Macaca fascicularis: one gene and its partner. The protein of the gene in region 2 interacts with the protein of the main gene of each other region in a biochemical or structural test. Links are inferred from orthologs where the notes say so. Each region holds a gene or a part of one and is shown on either strand. Other genes may lie near its edges. The genes, in order: TOR1A and torsin-1A-interacting protein 2.

Evidence for each region.
Region 1: the proteins of torsin-1A-interacting protein 2 (region 2) and TOR1A form a complex in vitro, tested with the Homo sapiens proteins (4 studies listed by BioGRID and IntAct, with this or other methods). The link is inferred for Macaca fascicularis from reciprocal best matches to the Homo sapiens genes TOR1AIP2 and TOR1A.

What each region holds. Positions count from the first base shown.
Region 1 is NC_088389.1:14,080,623-14,088,443, forward strand, and holds the start of TOR1A (torsin-1A), read left to right. Parts: upstream 1-3,832; 5' UTR 3,833-3,881; coding exon 3,882-4,059; intron 4,060-4,997; coding exon 4,998-5,263; intron 5,264-7,821. UniProt on the Homo sapiens protein: Protein with chaperone functions important for the control of protein folding, processing, stability and localization as well as for the reduction of misfolded protein aggregates.
Region 2 is NC_088375.1:37,364,754-37,372,449, forward strand, and holds the start of torsin-1A-interacting protein 2, read right to left. Parts: upstream 4,383-7,696; 5' UTR 4,272-4,382; intron 3,953-4,271; exon of another isoform or gene 3,818-3,952; intron 1-3,817. UniProt on the Homo sapiens protein: Required for endoplasmic reticulum integrity. Regulates the distribution of TOR1A between the endoplasmic reticulum and the nuclear envelope as well as induces TOR1A, TOR1B and TOR3A ATPase activity.

The DNA of each region.
Region 1 (7,821 bases), on a different chromosome or scaffold from region 2:
CACAAAAAAGTTAGCCGGGCATGGTGGCACATGCCTGTAATCCCAGCTACTCGGGAAGCTGAGGCAGAAAAATCACTTGAACCCGAGAGGCAGAGGTTGCGGTGAGCCGAGATTGCACCATTGCACTCTAGCCTGGGCAACAAGAGCAAAACTGTCTCAAAAAAAAAGAAAAGAAAAAGGGCTTCCTGGACAGAGCATGCTCATTTGCTAGCGAACAGTTCCAGAAACAGACCCTATTGGTCCTTCTGCTTACCTGCTGGATTTTTCAGGCACTAAATTTATAACTTTTTGAAACAAAACAATGTGTAATTTTCCATTTGGGGGCAAACTCTATTCTTGTGAGCATTATTAAATCTTGTTTGTAAATATATTGTCTTTTAATATTTGCTCTGGGTCAGGAAGAAACTGTTCACGGTGTGATAATACCCTTTAGATTGTGCTTTCATTATTATAGATGCATCGTGTCTTCTGCTTTCACGTATCTGGGATGGGGTCAGACATGCATCCTCCATTGATTAGAGTGGGTCCAACTGACAGAAAAATCTAGGATGAGATCAGAAGGATACTGGTGTTTTCTGACTTTTACAAAATTACTTGTTTGTTTTCATTTAAAAAAAAGCATAAACTATGTTTCTTATTACTATTAGAATTGAATTATTAAATTTCAAAATGAATCTAACCATATTGTTTGTATTATGTTTCCTTATACCAACATCAGGTAATGTTTTCAAAGCCCATGGTTTGGGTAGCTAAATGTAAAATTGAATTACTGAGATGGATTTTCTCATTTATTTCAAATGTCATAGACGTGCTGCAACCTGCTAACTGTCAAGTACCTTCTTACCTGTGCCCTCATTTTTCCTGAGGCATCCACATGGTCCGGAAGAGGAAAGAGCAGATTGGCTGACTTACGGGCGGAGTTAGAGCAAGTATTGTGGTTATGGTGGTTTGGCCCAGGAGTCACATCTGAGCCCAGCTCACAGCTTACTAATTGTGTCCTTGGACAGATCCTTTTCACTCTTAGCCTCAGTTTTCTCATCTGTAAAGTGGAGACTTTTTTGTCCTCCTCCACTTGAATGTGGTCAGTGAAGGCAGGAACCATGTATGCCTAATTTTTAAATTTGAAACCCCAGGGCATAGCCCACAATCTGACACATAGGCAGCCCTCAAAACTGTGAATGATCCCTATAGTGTCTGGCTTGTAACAAATGCACAAAAGTATTATTTGAAATCCAATATGAAAAGTTGAACCTTAAAAAATATTTTCAGGATATTTCAACTAGCATTTAACAGGTCCCAACGATGTACAGGCGTAACCCAAGATGAATACTAAAGGCCTAGCACATCTGGCACACAGCAACGCAACACGTGTTTATGGGATGAACAGGCAAATAAGTGGATGATCAACAGTTCTCACTTGCCAGAGTTCCCTTTGCTGGAAAATGAGTAATCTTTTACCCAGCTTAAAAGTGGCCACCAGATGGAGGGAGCCAGGTCTCTCACTGTTGGGGTGGGAATTCACAGATAAGCAAGGGGAGGAGGCTCCAATGATCCGTGTAATGGATTAGAGTTGGAGATGTCAGCATGAGCTCATGTTTAGCTTAATATAAGTACAGATGTTTACCTAGAAATATTTATAGATATGTGTGTGTGTTTAATAGTATATACACACATTTTTTTGTTCTGTCAGCTGAGACTGCCTGAAAGAAATGACATCTCAGCAAGAAGCACACCTAGCACCCAGAGCTTGGTTTCTTTCTTTTTTTTTTTTTTTTTTTTTTTTTTTGAGATGGAGTCTCGCTGTCACCCAGGCTGGAGTGCAGTGGCATGATCTCGGCTCACTGTAACCTCCACCTCCTGAGTTCAAGGAATTCTGTTTCAGCCTCCTGCATAACTGGGACTATAGGCACATGCCACCATGCCCAGCTAATTATTTTGTATTTTCAGTAGAGATGGGGTTTCACCATATTGGTCAGGCTGATCCCAAACTCTTGATCTCAGGTGATCCACCTGCCTCAGCCTCCCAAAGTGCTGGATTACAGGCACGAGCCACCATGCCCAGCCAGTTTGTAATGCCATTCTACAATGAAAGGAATCAGGGTTCCTCGTAGAAATAGGATTCTGGGACGGGGGCAGGAAATATACAAGATGAGCCTGGAGCATCCTGTAGTGGCAGAAAGGAAAGAAGCACTCAAACCCAAATAAACTGGTATACACTGGGTGTAGGTCAAAGGAACACAAAGAACCACTTAAATTCCCCGTGGCCAAAATGAGAACAATTTGAGAAAAAAAAAAATTAGTACTGTATTATAACACAAAGGATAAAATAACAATGGTCCATACTGATATAAATGATTGAATACATGGGGGAGAAAAAACAAATCTCCCATGCAGAATTCCAGATAATCTCTGCAGATACTCTGCTCCCAAGGAGGTGGAGCAAAATCCCTAACTCCTTAATGTGTGGGCTGTGCATGGGGACCTCCTTCCAAAGAGTACAGTAGAGAAAAGAGGGGTGGGGAGAAGAATAAGTGTACAGTGCGGAGACTTGATACTACCTCAGTCAAGTGATCAAGTCAGCACCAACAGTGATAGGTAATGTTGACAGTAAGAACCCTTCCTTGGTAGAATGTGATGAGCATAGCACTTTACCTTTGTGATCTTCCTTCCAAAACCCCATAGCGCTAGTCTAATCCTGAGAAAAACATCAAATTCCAGTAGAGGGCCAGCCTACCAAAGATTGTGGCAATACTCCTCAAAACTATCAAGGTCATCAAAAATAAAAGGCTGAGGCCAGGCATGGTGGCCCACACCTGTAATCCCAGCACTTTGGGAGGCTGAGGTGGGTGAATCACAAGGTCAGGAGATCAAGACCATCCTGGCCAACATGGTGAAACCCCGTCTTTACCAAAAATACAAAAATTAGCCAGGTATGGTGGTGTATGCCTGTAATCCCAGCTGCTCGGGAGGCTGAGACAGGAGAATCACTTGAACCTGGGAGGCGGAGGTTGCAGTGAGCTGAGATCACACCACTGCACTCCAGCTAAAATAAAAATAAAAATAAAAGGCTGAGACACTGTCACTAACAGGAGTCTAAGACATAACAAATTAATGTATCCTGAATGGAAACCTGGAGCAGAAAAAGGCATAAGTAAAAGGAAGGAAATCCGAATAAACTGTACACTTTAGTTAATATAACAACAGTGCTTCGTTAATTTTAACAAATGTAATACACTAATAATGTAAGAATTTAGTAACGGGTAATTGCAGGGAGGTGTGGCACATGGGAACTCTGTACTCTTACAATTTTTTCTGTAAATCTGTTCTAAAAATTAACGTCCATTATTATTTTTTTGGGGGAGGGACACAGTCTTGCTCTGTCGCCCAGGCTGGAGTATAGTGGTGGGATCTCAGCTCACTGCAACCTGCGCCTCCTGGGTTCAAGCGATTCTCATGCGTCAGCCTCCCCAGTAGCTAGGTGCCTACCACCACACCTGGCTGATTTTATATTTTTAGTAGAAGACGTGGTTTCACCATGTTGGTGAGGCTGGTCTCGAACTCCTGACCTCAGGTGATACACCCGCCTCAGCCTCCCAAAGGGCTGGGATTACAGGCGTGAGCCACCACGCCCGGCAAAAATAACGTCCATTACTTTAAAATAAACAAACAAAAACACGTGGCCGACGGGGGCGGTGCAGATCCGACCTTCCGGAAGCAAAACAGGGCTTTGTACCGAACAAAGATGGCGGCCGCCGGCGTCGGGAGGAGGGCTGCCCTGAAGAAAGATGGCCTCCGCGCGAGGAGGAACCGGAAGCGCGGGTCTGGCGGCGGTACTGGTTCGCGGTCGGCGCGAGAACGCGCAGGGTGGCGCGGGTCCGGGCATGAAGCTGGGCCGGGCCGCGTTGGGCCTGCTGCTGCTGGCGCCGTCCGTGGTGCAGGCGGTGGAGCCCATCAGCCTGGGACTGGCCCTGGCCGGCGTCCTCACCGGCTACATCTACCCGCGTCTCTACTGCCTCTTCGCCGAGTGCTGCGGGCAGAAGCGGAGCCTTAGCAGGGAGGGTAGGCAGGGGCGGGGGCTGGGGCGGGGGCTGGAGGCTGGGGCGGGGGCTGGAGGCTGGAGGCTGGAGGCTGGGGCTGGGAGATGGCACTAGGGCTGGGCTAGGACCAGGGGATGGAGGATGGAGGATGGAGGCGGGGGGATGGCACCGGGGCCGGACTAGGACTAGGGCTGGAGCGGGGCTTGGGGGCTGGGCGATGGCACTAGGGCCGGGCCGGGCTGGGGCTGGGGCTGGTGAATCGCACTAGGGCCGGGCTAGGACTAGGGCTGGAGCGGGGCTTGGGGGCTGGGGGATGGCACTAGGGCCGGGCCGGGATAGGGATCAAATCCCAGGAGGGCCGGGCCTGGGCAGAGCTGAGTCCGTGCGGGCCGGACCCCGGAAGCCGAGCGACCCCTGCAGGATGAGGCCTGGCCCCTTGGCCACCACAGACGGGCCAGACTTCAGTTGGAGACCTGAGGAGCCGGGCTGCAGGTTGGCCTACTTTGTGCTAAGCTGGGGGTGGACCGGTGGTAATCTCCCTCCGAAGTGGGCTCTGCTTCCTTTATAGCCTAGCGGGAGACAGGAAGGATGGTGAGGACTTCTTCGGAGCCGACCGGGAGGGACCAAACTGCTTTCTTTCCCCGCCCTGCCTTGGGGTGGGAGGAGCAGCACAGGGGTTAGAGGTGCAAACTGGTGGCAGTGGCAGTGGCAGTGGCACCCGCACCAAGGGCCTTTTCGGGAAGGAACCGGGCCAGGGCTTTAGAATAGGCAGGACCAGCAAAGGGAGGGCTCCCTGGACCACCGTCCCCTCTGGGCCAGGAGCTTACAGACCGCAGTACTTGAGGTTTCACAAGGTGCTTGAAGAGCTAGACGGCTTTGCTGACTTTCTCATGGGCTGTAAATGTGGCTGCCTTTTGTCACTGTTTCTTCCCCACTCCTGATTGGCTTTGTCTCCCCCAGCATTGCAGAAGGATCTGGACAACAAGCTCTTTGGACAGCATCTTGCAAAGAAAATCATCTTAAATGCTGTGTTTGGTTTCATAAACAATCCGAAGCCCAAGAAACCTCTCACCCTCTCCCTGCACGGGTGGACAGGCACCGGCAAAAATTTCGTCAGCAAGATCATCGCAGAGAATATTTACGAGGGTGGTCTGAACAGTGACTATGTCCACCTGTTTGTGGCCACATTGCACTTTCCACATGCTTCAAACATCACCTTGTACAAGGCAAGGATGGGAGTTTGGAATCCCTTCCTGGATGTCGTCGGGTTTGGGGTCTCTTCGTTGTGGGATGAGATTTGGAAATTGTGTTGAAATGAGTGAGCCCTGAAAATGGTTCACGTCTCAGTTCCCCTTGGAAAGGTGTAGAAGTTAGAGTTTGAGATGCGTGGAGCAGTTAACACCATCAAAGCTTTGTGGTGGGTTCTGAAAATCGGTCCAGTGAGTTTGTAGGGTCATGGGATTTTAGAGGTGGACATGATCTAATCCATCTTAGAGATCAACACATCTCACTCGTTTTTGTTTTTTTTTTTCCTTTATTTTGAGATGAAGTTTCACTCTTGCTACCCAGACTGGAGTGCAATGGCATGATCTCAGCTCACTGCAACCTCTGCCTCCTAGTTCAAGCAATTCTCCTGCCTTAGCCTCCCAGGTAGCTGGGATAACAGGCTCCTGCTACCATGCCCAGCTAATTTTTGTATTTTTAGTAGAGATGGGGTTTTGCCAACTTGGCCAGGCTGGTCTCGAACTCCTGACCTCAGGTGATCCGCCCACCTCAGCCTCCCAAAGTGCTGGGATTACAGGTGTGAGCCACCATGCCCGGTCACATCTCACTCATTTTGTGAAAGAGGAAACATATGTAGAGAGTCCTAAGTTTGTTGAACCTACTGTTGCAAACTGCCCTTTTTTTTTCTTTGAGTCAGGGTCTCACTCTGTTGTCCAGGCTGGAGTGCAGTGACGCCATCTTGTCTCACGGCAACCTCCGCCTTCTGGGTTCAAGCGATTCTCCTGCCTCAGCCTCCCGAGTAGCTGTGACTACAGGCATGCACCACCACACCCGGCTAATCTTTGTATTTCTAGTAGAGATGGGGTTTCCCCACATTGGCCAGCCTGGTCTCGAACTCCCGACCTCAAGTGATCTGCCCACCTCAGCCTCCCAAAGTGCTAGGATTACAAGTGTGGGCCACCTCGCCCAGCGGCAAACAGCTTTTATGGTTGAACTCACTGATTAGCAGCTTGGGCTTTGGCAGCAGACACATCTGGATTTGAGTCCTAACACTCTCCCAGCTCCATAGTCTTAGGACAGTTGCCTGACCTGAGACTCAGGTTCTGACTTACAAAGTGTTGCTTGTAACAATCCAGGGAACTCTGTCTGTCAAGTGTGTAACATGTGCCTGGTGCATGTTACAAATAAATGTTAACTGTTGCCTTTTAGATCCTTGTAACAGACCTGCAAGGTGGGCAAAAGTTATTATTTGTTTATTTTTTGAGACTGAGTTTCACTCTTGTAGCCCAGGCTGGAGTTCAATGGCACAATCTCCATCTGGGCTCACTGCAAACTCTGCCTCCCGGGTTCAAGTGATTCTCCTGCCTCAGCCTCCCAAGTAGCTGGGATTACAGGTGCCCGCCACCACACCCAGCTAATTTTTGTATTTTTAGTAGAGACAGGGTTTCACCTTGTTGGCCAGGCTGGTCTGGAACTCCTGACCTCAAGGTGATCCACCTGCCTCTGCCTCCCAAAGTGCTGAGATTACAGGCATGAGCCACCATGCCTGGCCTCAATCAGTTATTTATCCCTGACTGTATCCATGGAAAAACGTGAACACATTTTTCCCTTCTGTTTGGGTAAGCACGTGGGTCACCCACTGTCCAGCGGTTCTGTCCTGAAATGCGAATGTCCCATGGGTGTGGTGGCTCACACCTGTAATTCTAGCATTATGGGAAGCCAAACCGGCTGATCCCTTGAGCTCAAGAGTTCCAGACCAGCCTGGGGAACATGGTGAAATCCCATCTCTACTAAAAAAATACAAAAAAAAAATTAGTCAGGCGTGGTGGCACGCACCTGTAGTCCCAGCTAGGGGCCTGAGGCAGAAGGATGGCTTGAACCTGGGAGGTCGAGGCTGCAGTGAGCAGAGAGCCACTGCACTCCAGCCTGGGTGACAGAGTGAGACCCTGTCCCAAACAAGCAGGAACCATTCTAGAGGAATCAGGATGAGTTGGTCATCTTAGAACTGAGGCTTCACTAACAATAACTGTGACTTTAGGCAAGTTACTTCACTTGTCTGTGCCTCAGTTTTCTCATTTGTAAAAGAAGGAGCACAGTGGTAACTACCATGATGGGTTTTGGGAGGTCAGAGTAAAATATTTTATGAACAGACCAGGCGCGGTGGCTCACACCTGTAATCGCAGCACTTTGGGAGGCCAAAGCGAGTGGATCACCTGAGGTCAAGAGTTCAAGACCAGCCTGGCCAAGATGGTGAAACGCCATCTGTACTAAAAATACAAAAATTGGCCGGGCGCGGTGGCTCAAGCCTGTAATCCCAGCACTTTGGGAGGCCGAGGCGGGCGGATCACGAGGTCTGGAGATCGAGACCATCCTGGCTAACACGGTGAAACCCCGTCTCTACTAAAAATACAAAAAGAAATTAGCCGGGCGTGGTGGCGGGCGCCTGTAGTCCCAGCTACTCCGGAGGCTGAGGCAGGAGAATGGCGTGAACCCGGGAGGCGGAGCTTGCAGTGAGCCGAGATCGCGCCACTGCACTCCAGTCTGGGCGACAGAGCGAGAC
Region 2 (7,696 bases):
AGACGGGCATATCACGAGGTCAGGAGATCGAGACCATCCTGGCTAATACGGTGAAACCCCATCTCTACTAAAAATACAAAAAAATTAGCCGGGCATGGTGGCAGGTGCCTGTAGTCCCAGCTACTTGGGAGGCTGAGGCAGGAGAATGGCATGAACTTGGGAGGCAGAGCTTGCAGTGAGCCGAGATCATGCCACTGCACTCCAGCCTGGGTGACAGAGCGAGACTCCATCTCAAAAAAAAAAAAAGGAAAACTTAGACCTAATAATTTGCCTTGTATATAAATTATATTTTTACTACAACTAATAAAACTATAGGTGAATGGCCTCATCTGTTAAGGAACTAAACATTTCCCTTATCTTCTTTATTTTCCTACAACATTTGTTAAAAATCTAGTGATCGGCCGGGCGCGGTGGCTCAAGCCTGTAATCCCAGCACTTTGGGAGGCCGAGGCGGGCGGATCACGAGGTCAGGAGATCGAGACCATCCTGGCTAACACGGTGAAACCCCGTCTCTACTAAAAATACAAAAAACTAGCCGGGCGTGGTGGCGGGCGCCTGTAGTCCCAGCTACTCGGAGGCTGAGGCGGTAGAATGGCGTAAACCCAGGAGGCGGAGCTTGCAGTGAGCTGAGATCTGGCCACTGCACTCCAGCCTGGGTGACAGAGCAAGACTCCGTCTCAAAAAAAAAAAAAAAAAAAAAATCTAGTGATCAAAGTAGTTATAAAGGGGGGTAGGGGCGGGAGGCGCAGTGGCTCATGCCTTTAATCCCAGCCTTCTGGGAGCCAAGGTGAGAGAATCATGTCAGGCCAGGAGTTTGAGACCAGCCTGGTCAACACAGTGAGACCCTATCTTTACAAACATACAAAACATAGCTGGGTATGGCAGTGTGTGCCTATCGTCTCAGTTACTTGGGAGACTGAGGTGGGAGGATCACTTGAGCTCAGGAGTTCAAGTTTGCAGTAAGCCATGATAGTGCCACTATACTCCAGCCTGGGAAACAGAGCAAGCCCTTGTCTCAAAAAGAAAAGAAAAGAAAAGAAAAGAAAAAAGAAAAAGTAGTTATATACAGTACTTTAAAAAATACCGTAGTCAGGTATGGTGGCTCATGCCTATAATCCCAGGAAGTTCAAGCAGGAGAAGACTGCTTGAGCCCAAGGGTTCAGAGACCAGCCTAGACAACATATCAAGATCTTGTCTATACAAAAAATACAAAAATTAGTCAGGTATGGTGGTCTGTGCCTGTAGTCTCAGCTACTTGGAAGGCTGAGGTGGGAGGATTACTTGAGACTGGGAGGTCAAGGATGCAGTGAGCTGTGATTGTGCCACTGCACTCCAGCCTGGATAAGAGAGAGAGATCTTGTTTCAAAAAAGAAACAAACAAAAAACTTTCATACAAAGAATGTTGTAAGTCAGCCTCCAGGATCAACTCCTATCTACAAATATGACCTAACATCCATAAAGCAAATCTACCAAACATAAAACCCAATATAGCACTATCCTCTAAGGTCAGACTGTCTAGGCCTGAATGACTGCTCCAGCTTCTGACTTGGTGTTTCTCTTTCTCTCTCTGCCCTTGGTTTTCTTTGTTTTTTGTTTTGTTTTTGAGACGGAGTCTCACTCTGTCCCCCAGGCTGGAGTGCAATGGCGTGATCTCAGCTCACAGTAACCTCCGCCTCCCAGGGTCAAACGATTCTCCTGCCTCGAGCCTCCCGAGAAGCTGGGATTACAGGTGCCCGCCACCATGCCCAGCTAATTTCTTTGTATTTTTAGTAGAGATGGGGTCTCACCATGTTGGCCAGGCTGGTCTCAAACTCCTGATCTCAAGTGATCCATCCACCTTGGCCTCCCAAAGTGCTGGGACTATAGGCATGAGCCACTGTGCCCAGCCCCTGGCTAACTTTTTCCTTGGTTTTCTTAATTATAAAATGGAATAACAGTACTTAGATGAAAGAGGCAATGTGAAGATTAAATGAGATAATGAGCAATACTGACAACCACAGGGGCAGAAAAGAAGTCCTCAAAAACTGTAAATTGTTATTATTTGAACTACTACAGGCAAAACCAAACAGCTTCATTTAATTAAAACAAAATCCCAGAAGACACTAATGTTTTAAAATTTGACTTTTTCCAAAAATGTCATTACATTTACATGATATATACTCATAGTCAAGGGCTGAAGGAAAATCTCCAAAAACCAAACAATTTGTTGTTGAGGTAGTGGAATTATAGGTGAATTTTCTTCCCAGAAATTTTGATTACCAAAATTATGTGCACAGTTCATAACTGAGTCATGGCACCAAAAAAAAAAAAAAAAAAAAAAAAATTCATGTGTCAGCTCCTTTAAATACTAGTAAAAAGGGAAACAGCCCACACAGTGACAAAATAGGAATTCAAACCCAGCTATGACTCCAAAGTCTATGCTCATTGGGACACCCTTCCTTATTCCCAAATGTTTGATTTCTGTGCAAAATTTATGATAATGTATGATCGCCCTACGAATTCCTTCTTGTGGGACACAGTTTAATCCAGTAGTTCATATGATGTAGAAATATTAAAGAAATTTTAACACAATTAAAATTCTAAACAGTAAATAAAACAGCCAATTCTTCATTCTTCAAATTTTTTGGGAGGTTGTCAGATCTCCAAGTTTATGGGCCTTCGCAGTTAACTTAGTGAACAACCTCGAAGTGATAAAGCAGACAAGGCTTCTTGAAGCAAACTTTCCTTCAGGAAATTCAAGTGGCATTTCAAAGAAGTGTGGACTTTCCTGGAATAGAGTTTTGACTTCTGTGTTCCATGGAAATGAATGAAACACAGAAATGACTTCTTAGGCAAAAATAAGTTATATACAAAATACAATGCATTGTTAAAACACCCAATAATCCTCAAATAATTAGCTACATTCTGAAGTTAATTTACTTGTGAATTATTGAAGCTCTCAAGCTAGCATTACCTCTATATTAGGAAAGAAACTAGATAAAACAGTTCTTAAATGAGTCACGAAAGGTTGCGTAACAAACCTGCAGAAAAACAGGTAATCAAGTTGTGGACTGCACATTCAGCATAATAAACATTATTGAAGACAGGCACTCAATTTTCATAGCAAATGTTAGTTTTTCAAACTGTTCTAATCCACACAAAGGCTTCCAAGAACATCTGTAGTTACTCTACCATGAAGTTCCTTTTTTTATTAAATGTTTCCACTGGCCCTTTATATACTCACCTTGTGCTCAAAAAATAGAGCTCAAAAAACATGGATAACTGCCACAGCTTAAAGAAAGGATCTCTCATACAGATTCAAAAGAAAACGTGTTACAACCTAAACACAGGTAAAACAAAACCAGTATGTTTAATCTATATAACTCATTTCTGGATCTGTGTAACAGTATAAAGTCTGATAATTAAGCATTACTCATAAAGTAGAGAGTACTATGAACTTTGTTAAAAGAAGGAAAAGGCACAAACTTTTTCATCAGGTATTAAATACAATTGGGAGAATGTACATATATAATATGTAAGCAAAATGGTAGGAGGTCTTACTGAAACTTCAACTTTGCCCTTTTTAGCACCATTTTTTTTTTAAGTACTATCTTTTCAGGATTAAGATTAAGAATGTCGAGATCCTAGGCATGCTGGGCATGGAGTAATCGCCACCTACACTAGTAGGCAAATTTCCCACTTACATTTCGAACCCTAAAATAATTCTGCTTCTCATATTAAAGTCTAAACCCCAAAATTTACTCACATCTTACCCCATTTAATATTTATAAGATTCAGTTTCTTTTTATCCTAAAACAAAAATATACCCCCAACCTACCTCGTTTACTGTTTGAGTGAGGCCAGGCGTGGTGGCTCACGCCTGTAATCCCAGCACTTTGGGAGGCTGAGGCGGGAGGATCGCTTGAAGCCGGGAGTTCGAGACCCGCCTGGGCAATACAGTGAGACCCTGTCTCTACAAAAATAAAAAATAAAGTTATTAGTGGGGCATGGTGGTGCGGGCCTGTAGTTCGAGCTACTTGGGAGGCTGAGGCGGGAGGATCGCTTGAGCCCAGAAGTATGAGGCTGTGGTGAGCTACAATCACGCCACTGTACTCTAGCCTGAGTGACAGGGCAAGTACCTGTCTCAAAAACAATAAAAATTAAAATACCATTTGTGCGGTAGGGAGGTGGGGGTGGGGAGGGGCCGTTTCTGGAAGTCCTTTTGAAAAATTCAAGACATTAATTCCAATACTAAAACATGGAAAAGTTGCATAGTCATTTTGTTTACTTACAAATTCTGGCGGGGTTTCAAATCGTAGAACTGTTAGTATCAGGAGAGCCCTTCGAGTGGTCTTTCCGCTCCACACCGCTCGGCTGCACCCAGCGGCCGCTGCGGCCCGAATGTCGTCCAGGGTCCCCGCCCATATGACAAACACTTTCCGCCGGAAGGCGCCTGTGGAATGCTGGGACTAGTAGTCTCCGCGCCCTGCCTTCTGCCTTCTCTATCCTTCACCCTCTACTGCCAGGTCGTCTGACCCAGCGACAGGCGCGGTAAATGCGCGACCAAACCGCGGAGGTCCCCGAGTTCTCATGCTATCTGACAGGATTACAGGCATCTCTGTAAGACGTCGACCACCCTGACCCATATGACCTGACATTCATAGACTGAAGAAACTCATAGGACCAACACAGTGAGAAGCAGTACCAAATGATAATGGCAAGCACCAAGTCCTGGAACACACCCTCTGTGCCATTAAGAGGAGCATGTACTCAAACGAATTGCCTAATCTAAACCTCAGTTTGCTCGTGTGTCAAATGGGGACAACGTTACTTACCTCATAAGATGGTTATGAGTAAATTAGATGACATATGTAGTATGTCTGCTAAATGACAGTAGTGACAAAAAAATAGCTATTGTTTTGATCTATTAATTTTATAAATGTGAAAATTAAGAGATGGCGAGCAATTTACCCAAGAACATACAATTTGTTGGGGGCAAAATCGAGTAAGTCTAAAATTCCTGTTCTTGACCTATACCAATTCAAGACAAATCTAAACCAATTTCAAGAAGAAATCTACTCATGTAAAACTCCCTTCCCCTTTCCTCAGTTTTATCCATAACAGTCCTGACCAACACACTATTTTACTTATTTTGATTTTTGCCTGACTCCTCCCATAGAATATAATCTCCAAGTAGGCAGGAAACATTTTTTTTTAAATCAATTTTGTTCATGCTGTATCCCCATCATAGAGAACAGGGACTGACTACTACATAGTAGCTCAGGTATTTATTGAATTAATAATTCCTCATTTAATGTGATTTTTTGGTGCCTTCACTTCTCAACCATCCTCTTTTGGCAGAAGTGACAGGATATGGTAACTCTCTTGGATGGTGTTTAATAATTAACTGCAATTCCTAATTCAACAAAAAGTAGAATACTATATTCCATCCATTCATTGTGTTTAATTTCAGTATAACATTTCCAGCTATTTTCATTTGTATTAAGTCATTAAAATATTTTTTCTATCATTTGTAAGACTGGGGAATAAATGGAGCCAGCTACTATATCTTTAATTAACTTCCTCCTGTTTAATATTTTAATCATATTTTCCTTATTAAAATTAAGTGTTGCCCACTTCATTTCTACTACTAAGTCACAACAGATAGATGATTTCTCTTTAAATAAATGAATTTCTGCTTACCCTAAGCAAAAAGTTCCTGTACAAAATTTGTTCTCAAATGTTTCATTTAAAATAATTTATTTTGACCAGGCGTGGTGGCTCATGCCTGTAATCCAAGGACTTTGGGAGGCCAAGGCGGGTGGATCACCTGAGGTCAGGAGTTCAAGACCAGCCTTGACAACATGGCAAAACTCTGTCTCTACTAAAAATAACAAAAATTAGCTGGGCGCGGTGGCAGACACCTGTAATCCCAGCTACTCGGGAGGCTGAGGCATGAGATCACTTGAACCCGGGGTGGCGGGAAGCTGCAGTGAGCTGAGATTGCGCCACTGCACTCCGGCCTAGGCGAAAGAGCCAGACTCTGTCTCTAAATAAATAAATTAAAAATGAAACAAAGTAACTGATTTAGGAACCCAGTCGCAAGAGCACAGGATTTCTAGACCTAGCCCTAATAGTTAAGTGTGTGAATTAATGCCAGTCATTTAATCTGAATTGTAATTTTTCGTGTTTCTCTTTCCCAATAAATGGCAAATTCCCTAAAGGTAAAGCAATCTTCCTCATTGCTGGCACAAAATACATGTTTGGTAAGTAAATGAATTATTTAGTGTATTCTTTGTTTTAACCATTTCTTTTCTTTCTTTCTTTCTTTTTTATTTTTTTGAGACGGATTCTCGCTCTGTCCCCCAGGCTAGAGTGCAGTGGCCGGATCTCGGCTCACTGCAAGCTCCGCCTCCCGGGTTTACGCCATTCTCCTGCCTCAGCCTCCTGAGTAGCTGGGACTACAGGTGCCCGCCACCTCGCCCGGCTAGTTTTTTCGTATTTTTGTAGCAGAGACGGGGGTTTCACCGTGTTAGCCAGGATGGTCTTGATCTCTTGACCTCGTGATCTGCCCGTCTCGGCCTCCCAAAGCGCTGGGATTACAGGCTTGAGCCACCGCGCCCCGCCTAATCATTTCTTTTCTTACTGGTCTTCTTTTATGAGTCGCTGAATTCCTCCAGATTTCTCAAATTCCCAAAGTAACTTTAACATCCAGAGCTGAGGCCTCCTTTTTTAGTGGCCCAGCGCATCCCTTATAATATTGGCTATGAGTCTACTGTCACTGTAATGTCACCTCTTTTGAGCAACTCTTATAGTCTGGATAATAGCTACAGCAGAGTATCTAGTTTTGTAACAGTTTAGTTTTGCCTCAGAGTTAGTCAGTGTGGTATCTGCAAGGTTTCTAGGTGAAGGAGGCAGTCACAGTAGAGGTAGGTCTCTGTATGCTTACAACCTAGACAAGAGAGGGAAAATCCTATGCATATATATGTATGTATGTAAATTACCATTAAAGTTACTATGCCTCTAATTTTACAGTGTCTCATTAATTTAGTTGAAAGGCCATTCCTAAGCCTTTACAAGCAGTTTTAATTACAAAATATGCACATTCTGATTATTCAATAATATGTAGAACCTCTCATCTTCTCTGATTGTTCAGTATGTAGAATCTCTTCTCTTTTTTAACTTGTCCCTCAACCCTAAGTTTTACAAGCCTGTATCCAAGTTTTATAAGCTAGTATCCCAGTTTCTATATAGTCATCTGTCTTGGTAAAATGTTTCAAGGAGACTTTAATGTTCATAACATGAACTCAATATATTACCGTAAAATTTATATTTAATAATTAAATCTATCAAGGAACTTACACTATTGTGTTACTAATGAGTCATGTAATAGCCACCTTAAAGGGAAAGCCCTACTTAAAACATAAATAAAAGCCATGTATTACCATATCAATACTTATCAGTATTTTGTTGGAAAAATCTAGCAAATTTCCGAAATATACCATCTAATCCAGGCTGACAAGGGAGAGTACCCTTTTCATTTTTCCTTAAAAGACAAGAAGAAAGAAGAAAAAGAAAGAGACAGGGATAAAGAAGTCTCTTTTGTTACTTTCCTGCAGTTTTTAAAAGCTATATTGTATATAAAGCTACAGTAAACTAAGCTCCTACCAGGCCAAACCCTATCTCACTCTAAAACTCTAATTCCTCGTGCCTGTGG